2 linked regions of the Struthio camelus genome follow. The main gene of each other region encodes a partner of the protein of the gene in region 2 in a complex. Links are inferred from orthologs where the notes say so. Each region holds a gene or a part of one and is shown on either strand. Other genes may lie near its edges.

The links. Proteins that work in one complex are often made in the same cells at the same time.
Region 1: the proteins of ERCC6L (region 2) and BEND3 are in contact, whole or in part, in a crystal structure (PDB 5JNO), measured with the Homo sapiens proteins. The link is inferred for Struthio camelus from reciprocal best matches to the Homo sapiens genes ERCC6L and BEND3. Residues at the interface, in NP_060139.2 of Homo sapiens: Ala10, Glu11, Ala12, Leu13, Ser14, Pro15, Glu16, Ala18, Ala19, Tyr21, Leu22, Arg23, Lys26, Phe51, Pro52, Asn53, Glu54, Lys55; in NP_001073919.1 of Homo sapiens: Glu252, Gln255, Ile256, Gln259, Leu261, Asp265, Arg269, Val272, Gln273, Pro276, Phe279, Ser280, Phe335, Arg338, Phe339, Gln342, Glu346.

Annotation. Positions count from the first base shown.
Region 1 is NC_090944.1:58,878,559-58,882,301, forward strand, and holds the start of BEND3 (BEN domain-containing protein 3), read right to left. Parts: upstream 2,408-3,743; 5' UTR 2,141-2,407; intron 1,311-2,140; exon of another isoform or gene 740-1,310; intron 1-739. UniProt on the Homo sapiens protein: Transcriptional repressor which associates with the NoRC (nucleolar remodeling complex) complex and plays a key role in repressing rDNA transcription.
Region 2 is NC_090952.1:1,889,561-1,893,303, forward strand, and holds the start of ERCC6L (DNA excision repair protein ERCC-6-like), read left to right. Parts: upstream 1-1,259; 5' UTR 1,260-1,321; coding exon 1,322-1,362; intron 1,363-1,628; coding exon 1,629-3,743. UniProt on the Homo sapiens protein: DNA helicase that acts as a tension sensor that associates with catenated DNA which is stretched under tension until it is resolved during anaphase. Functions as ATP-dependent DNA translocase. Can promote Holliday junction branch migration (in vitro).

The DNA.
Region 1 (3,743 bases), on a different chromosome or scaffold from region 2:
ACGCTTCTCAGTTTTCCCAGAAGCTGCATATAGCTGAAATTTTCCCTACCTGTCCCCCTTACTTTCCCAAACACCAATTTCATCTTGCAGTGAATGATCAGTGCAATTTGTTTATTTTCAGCAATGTATTAACTACTATATGTATAAACTGTATGTAAGGTAATGCATTAACTACAATTTGTTCAATTAAGTGTTTTCCCCCGGTCTATTAGGAACATTGTTTTTCTCAATGCTTTGTTCTCTCCCTCCTCATCTTCAACTTTATTTTAAAATACTGCTCCATTTGAACTTCCTACAGACAATTTAAAATCCCCTTCAAACTCCACTACACTTTCCTTTATTTTTCACTCACTGGGTAACAAGCTATGGAAATACTTAGCAAAGATAAAAAAGTACTGTCAGTCAAATGCTGAGCTTGATTTAATGAGACAGAAAAAATCGACTACCATAGATTTCTAATTGTTTTACCAGCTGAAAGCATCAAAGTAAACGGAGAATCTGACAGCCAGATATTAGGCAAAAGTAGGGAAAGGATCTGAATGCCTCTGCCCCAAGCGTCAGGCCTATACTGCTCTTATAGGTGCCAGTGACAAGCTCTATCTGCGCTCCAACCCAAAGGCTCTGGGACTGCGTCAACGCTATGTGGAAGCAGTCACATGGCTCTTGGACTGCAGCCGGCTCACATTCTGCTGGTTCAGAGTTTGTTCCCTTCTATTTACAAAAGACTGCGTAGACATACCACAGGAGAGAGCAGGGTAAAGCACAGGGTGAGCTGGGTGGAGGTAGACCATTCCTCCGCATCAGCCTTCTCGCGTCCCCTCAACTCTTTGCAGGTCAAGAACCAAGATGAATTATGACAGAATCATCAGCTCGATGTTACTAAGGGTTTTTATCAGCTAAGGGTCTGACCCAAGTCCTCACTTCTCACAAGGCACGTGCTTACATGCTGCTCCAAAGGTTCCCATGAAGCCCACATGTAAGACCATTTAGCTTCTGAACAGAGCTGTTATCATGGGAAATACACACCGCAAGGTCCCTCGGGGATGAACCACGCAGTCAGCTACGCTAGAAACTTGTGATACCGACTAGCATGCTGCCAACCGGCCCTGCCGCGGGGAGGACGGGCGCCGGCAGAGGGAGATCACCTCTGCCCTGTTACTTGCCTAGCACTCACAACCCACTCACGCCGAGTCAGACGCGATCCCCGCCCATGCCATCGAGTCGCCCCCTTTTGCAGGCACCGGGACGGCACCGGGCCCTCTACGGGGGACGAAGGCAACTTCCCGCTCCGCTCTGGGGCTCCCGGGGGCCGGCGCTGCGCAGCGTCGCACTCCGCCCCGGCGGGACCCCCCACCCCCACCCCCGCGGAGGACACGTGCTCCGGCCCCGCCACCTCCACCCCCCCACACACACGCACGCACGCACGCACACGCGGGGACAGAGGGGCGGCGGGCCCCGAGCGGGAAGCGCGGCGGCGCCCCACGGGCTCCAGCGCCTGCCACGTGGGAGCCACCCGCGGCGCCGCGCGGCGCCGCGGCCCCGCCCCGAGGCGGGGGCTGCGGTAACGCCGGCCCCGCGCGCCCCGCACGCGGCGGCCGGGGCCGCTTCCGCGGTCAGACCCACGAGCCCGACGCGGCGGCGGCGGTGGCGGCCGCTGCTTCCGGTCCGAACCCTGCCCGGGCGGATCTATGTGGCGGGCGGGGGGGGGGAGGGGGGCCCGCGGGCAGAGGAGGGAGGGTTAAGGTGAGGCTGGAGGTGACGGCGGCGTGACCGTTCCACTCCTCCCCCCCGCCCCCGCCGCCGCCGCGGAGATGGAGGCACCCGGAGGGAGCGCGCGCGCGCCCCCGCGCGCCCCGAGCCGCAGCGCTATAGCAACGTTCCAAGCAACGAACAAAGAGTCCCCCCCCGCCCCCCCTGCCTCCCCCGCCGCCCGCCCCGCGCCCCACGGGCAGGGGGAGGGGCGGCGGCGCCGGGGGCCCCGCGCCGCGGCCGGGGGAGGGGCCGGCCCGGGCCTGCCGCTCGCTCTTCCCCCCCCCCCACCCCGTTCCTCCCCTGGTCGCCGGGGCGGCGCTCCCCACCGAGGGCTGCGCGGAGCGGCGCCCCTCCCGCCACTGCGCCGGGGAGCGGCGGCGGGACTTACCTAGGCTGCCTGTGGGGGCACGGGAGCCCCGGGACTGCGGGGGCGGCTGGAGCGGCCGCCGCTGGTGCCCGCGCTTCCCCCCCGCTCTTTGTGTGCGAGGGTCCGCGCGCTGCGCTCTCGCGTGACGTGACGGGACCGTGTGTCATTTCCGCACAAGGACACTGAGCCCCAAGCCGCCGCGGCCAGCGCCACCCGCCGCCCCGGGGCAGGGGCAGAGGCGGGAGGGGAGGGGGGAGGAGCAGGCCGCTCTCCCCCCTCCTCTTCCCCCCTCCTTCCCCACCCCCCGCCCTCCCCGGCGCTGCCACAGGGAACGCGGTTCCCACTGGAGACCCCGCGCGCGCCCGCCCCCGCCGCGCTCCTCGCGAGCGAGCACGCGCGCGCGCGCGCGCGCTGCCCACTCGGCGGCGCGGGGGCAGCCCAACGGCCGGGCGCGAGCGAGCCGCGCCGCGCCGCGCCGCGCGCCATGGCCGCGAGCAGCGCCGGCGGGCACGGCCCCGGCCCCCCGCGCCGCCCCTGCCGCACGTGGGCCCGGCCCGGGGACGCCGAAGGACACGCGGCGCGCTCTGCCTCGGCAGCCGCCGCGTGGAAGCGAGTGGCAAGGCCGGCACCGCCGCCGCCGCCCCCGGGGGTGGTGGTGGTGGGGGAGCCACGCACGGCACGGCCGCCACCCCGGCAGCCCGCGCCGGTCGCGCGGCGGCGGCGGGCCGCGCACGTGCAGGCGGCGGCGGCGGCTGTGAGCTTGCGCTCGCCGAGCTGGGGGCCGAGCGGCGACCGGGCGGGCGGGAGATGGGGGACGGCGTGGGGGGGCAAGGGGGGCGGTGTCCCCGCCGGGCGGGCGGCCACCACCGCGTGGCCATGGCCGGCGACGGGAAGCGGCGAGCACGTGGCCGCGCGGCCCCGCCGGGGGCGGCGCGCGTGAGGCCAACGGCCGCTCCCGCCCCGCGGCCAACGGTCGCCTCCTCCCCCCCCACCCCCCACGGCCGGCGGAGACCTGAGGGAAACGGCCGCCCGCCGCCCCACGCGGGTCCTGCCGCGAGTCCCCACGGGCGCCGTGTGTGCCGGCGCGGGCAGAGCGGCCGCCCCTGCGGCTCCCGGAGTCCCGGCCCTCGCTGGCCGCGGCCTTTCGGAGGGGCCGTACCGGGCCTGGCGCTGGGAGCTGGCTGTAAAGCCTTCAAATAAATCCCCATGTCGTAACGCCTGCCAGGAATCCCTCATGTCGTTATTTGGGCAGCGCGTGATGAAAGTGTGAAGAATCGCTCATTAGTTATGACACTTGTTCGCCGTACGCGCGCGCTCGCTGACTTGACCCAGAAGGCGATTTTTCTGATGAGCTGGCGCTTCTGGACACACCGTGGCAGGCTCGCGGCATGGTTGGAAGTGGTGCTGCTCCGCACACTGCCTGCCTTTATGCAATGCGAAAGCCTTCTTTCGTGTTTCTTATTGCCAGGTAAGGAAAGCTGGCATTTGGTGCTGTTTTAGGCTGCAGCCTGTACTTGTAAAAACAGAAATTCAGTAGGCTCTGTTTAATTCACTTCCAGGCTTGAGGATTTTATGTTCTTTCCTTCATCACTTTCACGAGAGAATTTTTTCTTGCTTCACATTT
Region 2 (3,743 bases):
TCCTCTGCCCAGTCTTTCTGTAACAGCCTGTCTTGGTTCACATGCTCCCTTATAGGACAACTGATCCAGGATATCACGATCCGCGGGATTCACGTTTTGGCTGTGACTCCTGGAAACACCCTATATGTCATCTATAACAAACTAGAGATCCCTTATAGAGCCTAAGCCAGTTCCATCGTCCATAGTCTACCTCCATATGGGACTAAAAAGCAAGGGCCGGGGTTGCAAATGAAAGGGAGCTGGCTTGTATTCAAATGGAAACACCTATGTGGCTGCCAGAGCTGCCTGCAGAGATAAGAGTGGAAAGGGTGCTGGTGTTGGTGCTCAGGAGGCACCCCCTCCTCCCAGGTGCATGGCCCAGCGAGGGTGCCAGGCTGTGGGCACTGGGCCTCCGGCAGATCTGGGCACAGAGGGCAAGTGATGAGCGGCACTGAGTGGCTGCAGGGAACCAAAGCCTAGGCCAGGGCCTTCAGAGAAGCGCTGCTTTCCAGCAGTCCACACTGCATGACTGGTCCCATGCTGAGGACTCTAACTCCAGGCCAGCATCTCTTACCCTTCCAAGCCATGAGTGCTGTCTCCTGGCTGCAGAGCACCTACATGGTGGGGGCACTGCTGCCTGTCCCACTTGCTCTCTGAGCACCCCATGGAAAAGGAAACACTGCTTTGGTGTGCTCTGAGTTCAGCAGCAGCTTCAGATGCAGTTGAAGAGCCGGGAGCAGAGCTGCAGCTCCCTGGCTCGCCTGGCCTGTGCTGGACTCAGTGCACTCTGCTGGACCCCCCTCCATAGGGTCCAGCAAGACCATTCAGCCCCCATGGGGCCAGTGCTCCTGGAGTAACATGGCAACATCTCCCACTGTACAGAAAAAGCGCATGGGAAATGCTACTCCCTTGTCCCCACCATTGCTCCCAGGAAAGGCAGGAGGAAAGGAGAGCAGGAAGCTTCAGAGCCTTGTGCACCGGGGGTCTGTGCAGCCGGGCCTTGCCCTAGGAGCCCGATACTGCCAGGAGCGGGGGGAACTGACCCAGTGCAGCCCAGTCCCACCGTGGCCCAGCCCCTGTTGAGCCCAGCACCAGGACAGCGCAGCCCGAGACCGGCCCCGGCCCCGGCCCCGCCAGCCCCCGTCCTCTGGCCCCGGCCCCGCCCCCCCAAAACCACGTGGTGGCTGCGGGACTCGGCCGGCCGCAGCCCCGCCCCCGGACGCTGACTGGCTGCGCGGCCGTTCATTTGCATGCGGGGTGGGGGGGGGGGAAGGGAGCGCGGGGCAGGACGGGAAGGGCCGGCGTTTGAAGCGCGGGGCGGCAGCGGCGGGGCGCGCGCGCCATGGCGGAGCTGGAGCCTGGGCAGGAGGAGCGGTACCGGAGGTGAGGCGCGGCGCGGCCGGCCGGTCGCGCTCTGTGCGGGTGTCCAGGGCGGCGGTGGCGGGGCCCGGTGCCGCTTGGTGCCGGGGTCGAGCTGGGCGGGGCCGGGGGGAGGCGAGGAGGAGGCCGCGGCCGCGGGGGCGGCGGGGCCTGGTGGCACTTGGTGCCGGGGGCGAGCGGGGCTGGGGAAGGGGCCGGGGCCCCGGGGGCGGCGGCGGGCTCCGCGGGCGGCGGCGGGCTCCGCGCGGTGCCCATGGCGCTTCCCGCAGGCTGGTGAGCGGGGCGAAGGCGGCGGCGGGCGGCGGGGACCTGGAGGAGGCGCTGCGGTTGTTCCGGCTGGCGGCCGCGATCCGCCCCAGCGAGAAGCTGAGTGGCCGCATGCGGCGCGTGGAGGCGGCGCTGGCCGAGGCGGCAGCGGCGGAGGAGGATGGGGAGGAGGAGGAAGGCTTCGTGGACGTGTGCGGCAGCGGACTGCTGCTCTACGGGGAGATGCACGGGAAGCTCTTCCAGCACCAGCGGGAAGGTGTTGCTTTTCTGTACCGCCTGCACCGGGAGGGCAGGCCCGGTGGCATCCTGGCTGATGACATGGGCCTGGGCAAGACCATCCAGATCATCGCCTTCCTCTCAGGCATGTTTGATGCTGACCTTGTCCAGCATGTCCTGCTCATCATGCCCACCACGCTGGTCAGCAGCTGGCTGGCAGAGTTTGCTCGCTGGACCCCTGGCCTGCGCGTCAAGGAGTTCCACGGCACCAGCAAGGCAGAGCGCACCAGGAACCTGGAGAGGGTCCAGAGGAAGAATGGCATTGTTATCACAAGCTACCAGATGCTTATTAACAACTGGAAGCAGCTTGCCAGCAGCCATGAAGAGGAGTTTATCTGGGACTACATCATTCTTGATGAAGCGCATAAAATCAAGTGTCCATCAAACAAAACGACAAAATGTGTGTATGCTATTCCTGCTAAACATCGCCTCCTCCTCACGGGTACCCCAGTGCAAAACAACCTACGGGAAATGTGGTCCTTGTTTGACTTTGCATGCCAAGGCTCTCTCCTAGGAACAGCCAAAACATTTAAAATGGAATATGAGAACCCTATTACGAGGGCAAGGGAGAAGGATGCAACTCTGGGAGAGAAAGCACTGGGCCTTAAGATATCTGAGAATCTAATGACCATTATAAAGCCGTATTTCCTCAGAAGAACTAAAGAAGATATCAAAAAAAACTGCAATGCTGACAAACTGGATGCTCCTCTTCCTGAGGATCCAAGTGAAAATAGTGCTCCTGTCATGCCGTCTCTTACTAGGAAAAATGACTTTGTTGTGTGGGTGTATTTAGCACCAATACAAGAGGAAATCTACAGGAACTTTCTCTCTCTGGATCATTTGAAAGAAGTGCTGATGACTACCCGCTCACCTCTAGCTGAGTTGACTGTCTTGAAGAAGCTGTGTGACCACCCCAGGCTTCTGTCCGCAAGAGCATGTATCCAGCTGGGCTTAGAAGGACATGAATACTCTGAGCAGGATTACAGGAGTGAAACAGGTATACTTGCAGGAGCTAACAAAATAGATCATCTGTCTGAAGAGACTGTGATTCAGGAGTCTGGGAAAATGCTGTTCCTTGTAGGACTTCTAGAAAGGCTGCGAGATGAGGGACACAGAACTCTGGTATTCTCGCAGTCGAGGAAGATGCTAGATATCATAGAGCATGTTTTATCGCGCAGACAATTTAAGATCATGCGTATTGATGGAACAGTAACCCACTTAACAGAACGAGAGAAGCGCATTAGTGCATTTCAGAATGACAAAGACTACTCTGTCTTCTTGCTCACCACGCAAGTCGGCGGCGTTGGTATAACCTTAACCGCAGCTAGCCGAGTGGTGATCTTTGATCCCAGCTGGAATCCAGCTACAGATGCCCAGGCTGTGGACAGAGCTTATAGGATTGGGCAGAAAGAGAATGTAGTAATTTATAGACTGATTACCTGTGGCACCGTGGAAGAGAAAATATATAGGCGACAAGTATTCAAGGACTCATTAATAAGACAGACTACTGGTGACAAAAAGAACCCATTTAGATATTTTTCCAAGCAAGAACTAAGGGAGCTTTTCACATTAGAAGATACTCGAACATCTGCAACTCAGATCCAGCTGCAGTCTCTGCATGCCACTCAACGAAAGACTGATGTACAGCTGGATGAACATATTGCTTATCTGCACTCTCTGGAAATGTTTGGCATTTCTGATCATGACTTAATATATACAAGGGAAATAACTCATGAGGAGCGGGCTGAGAATGAAGAAGCCCATCAGTACATTCAACAGAGGGTGCAGAAAGCCCACGAGCTAGTTCAGTTAGAGTCTCAGCTTAGAGACCAGAGGATGGA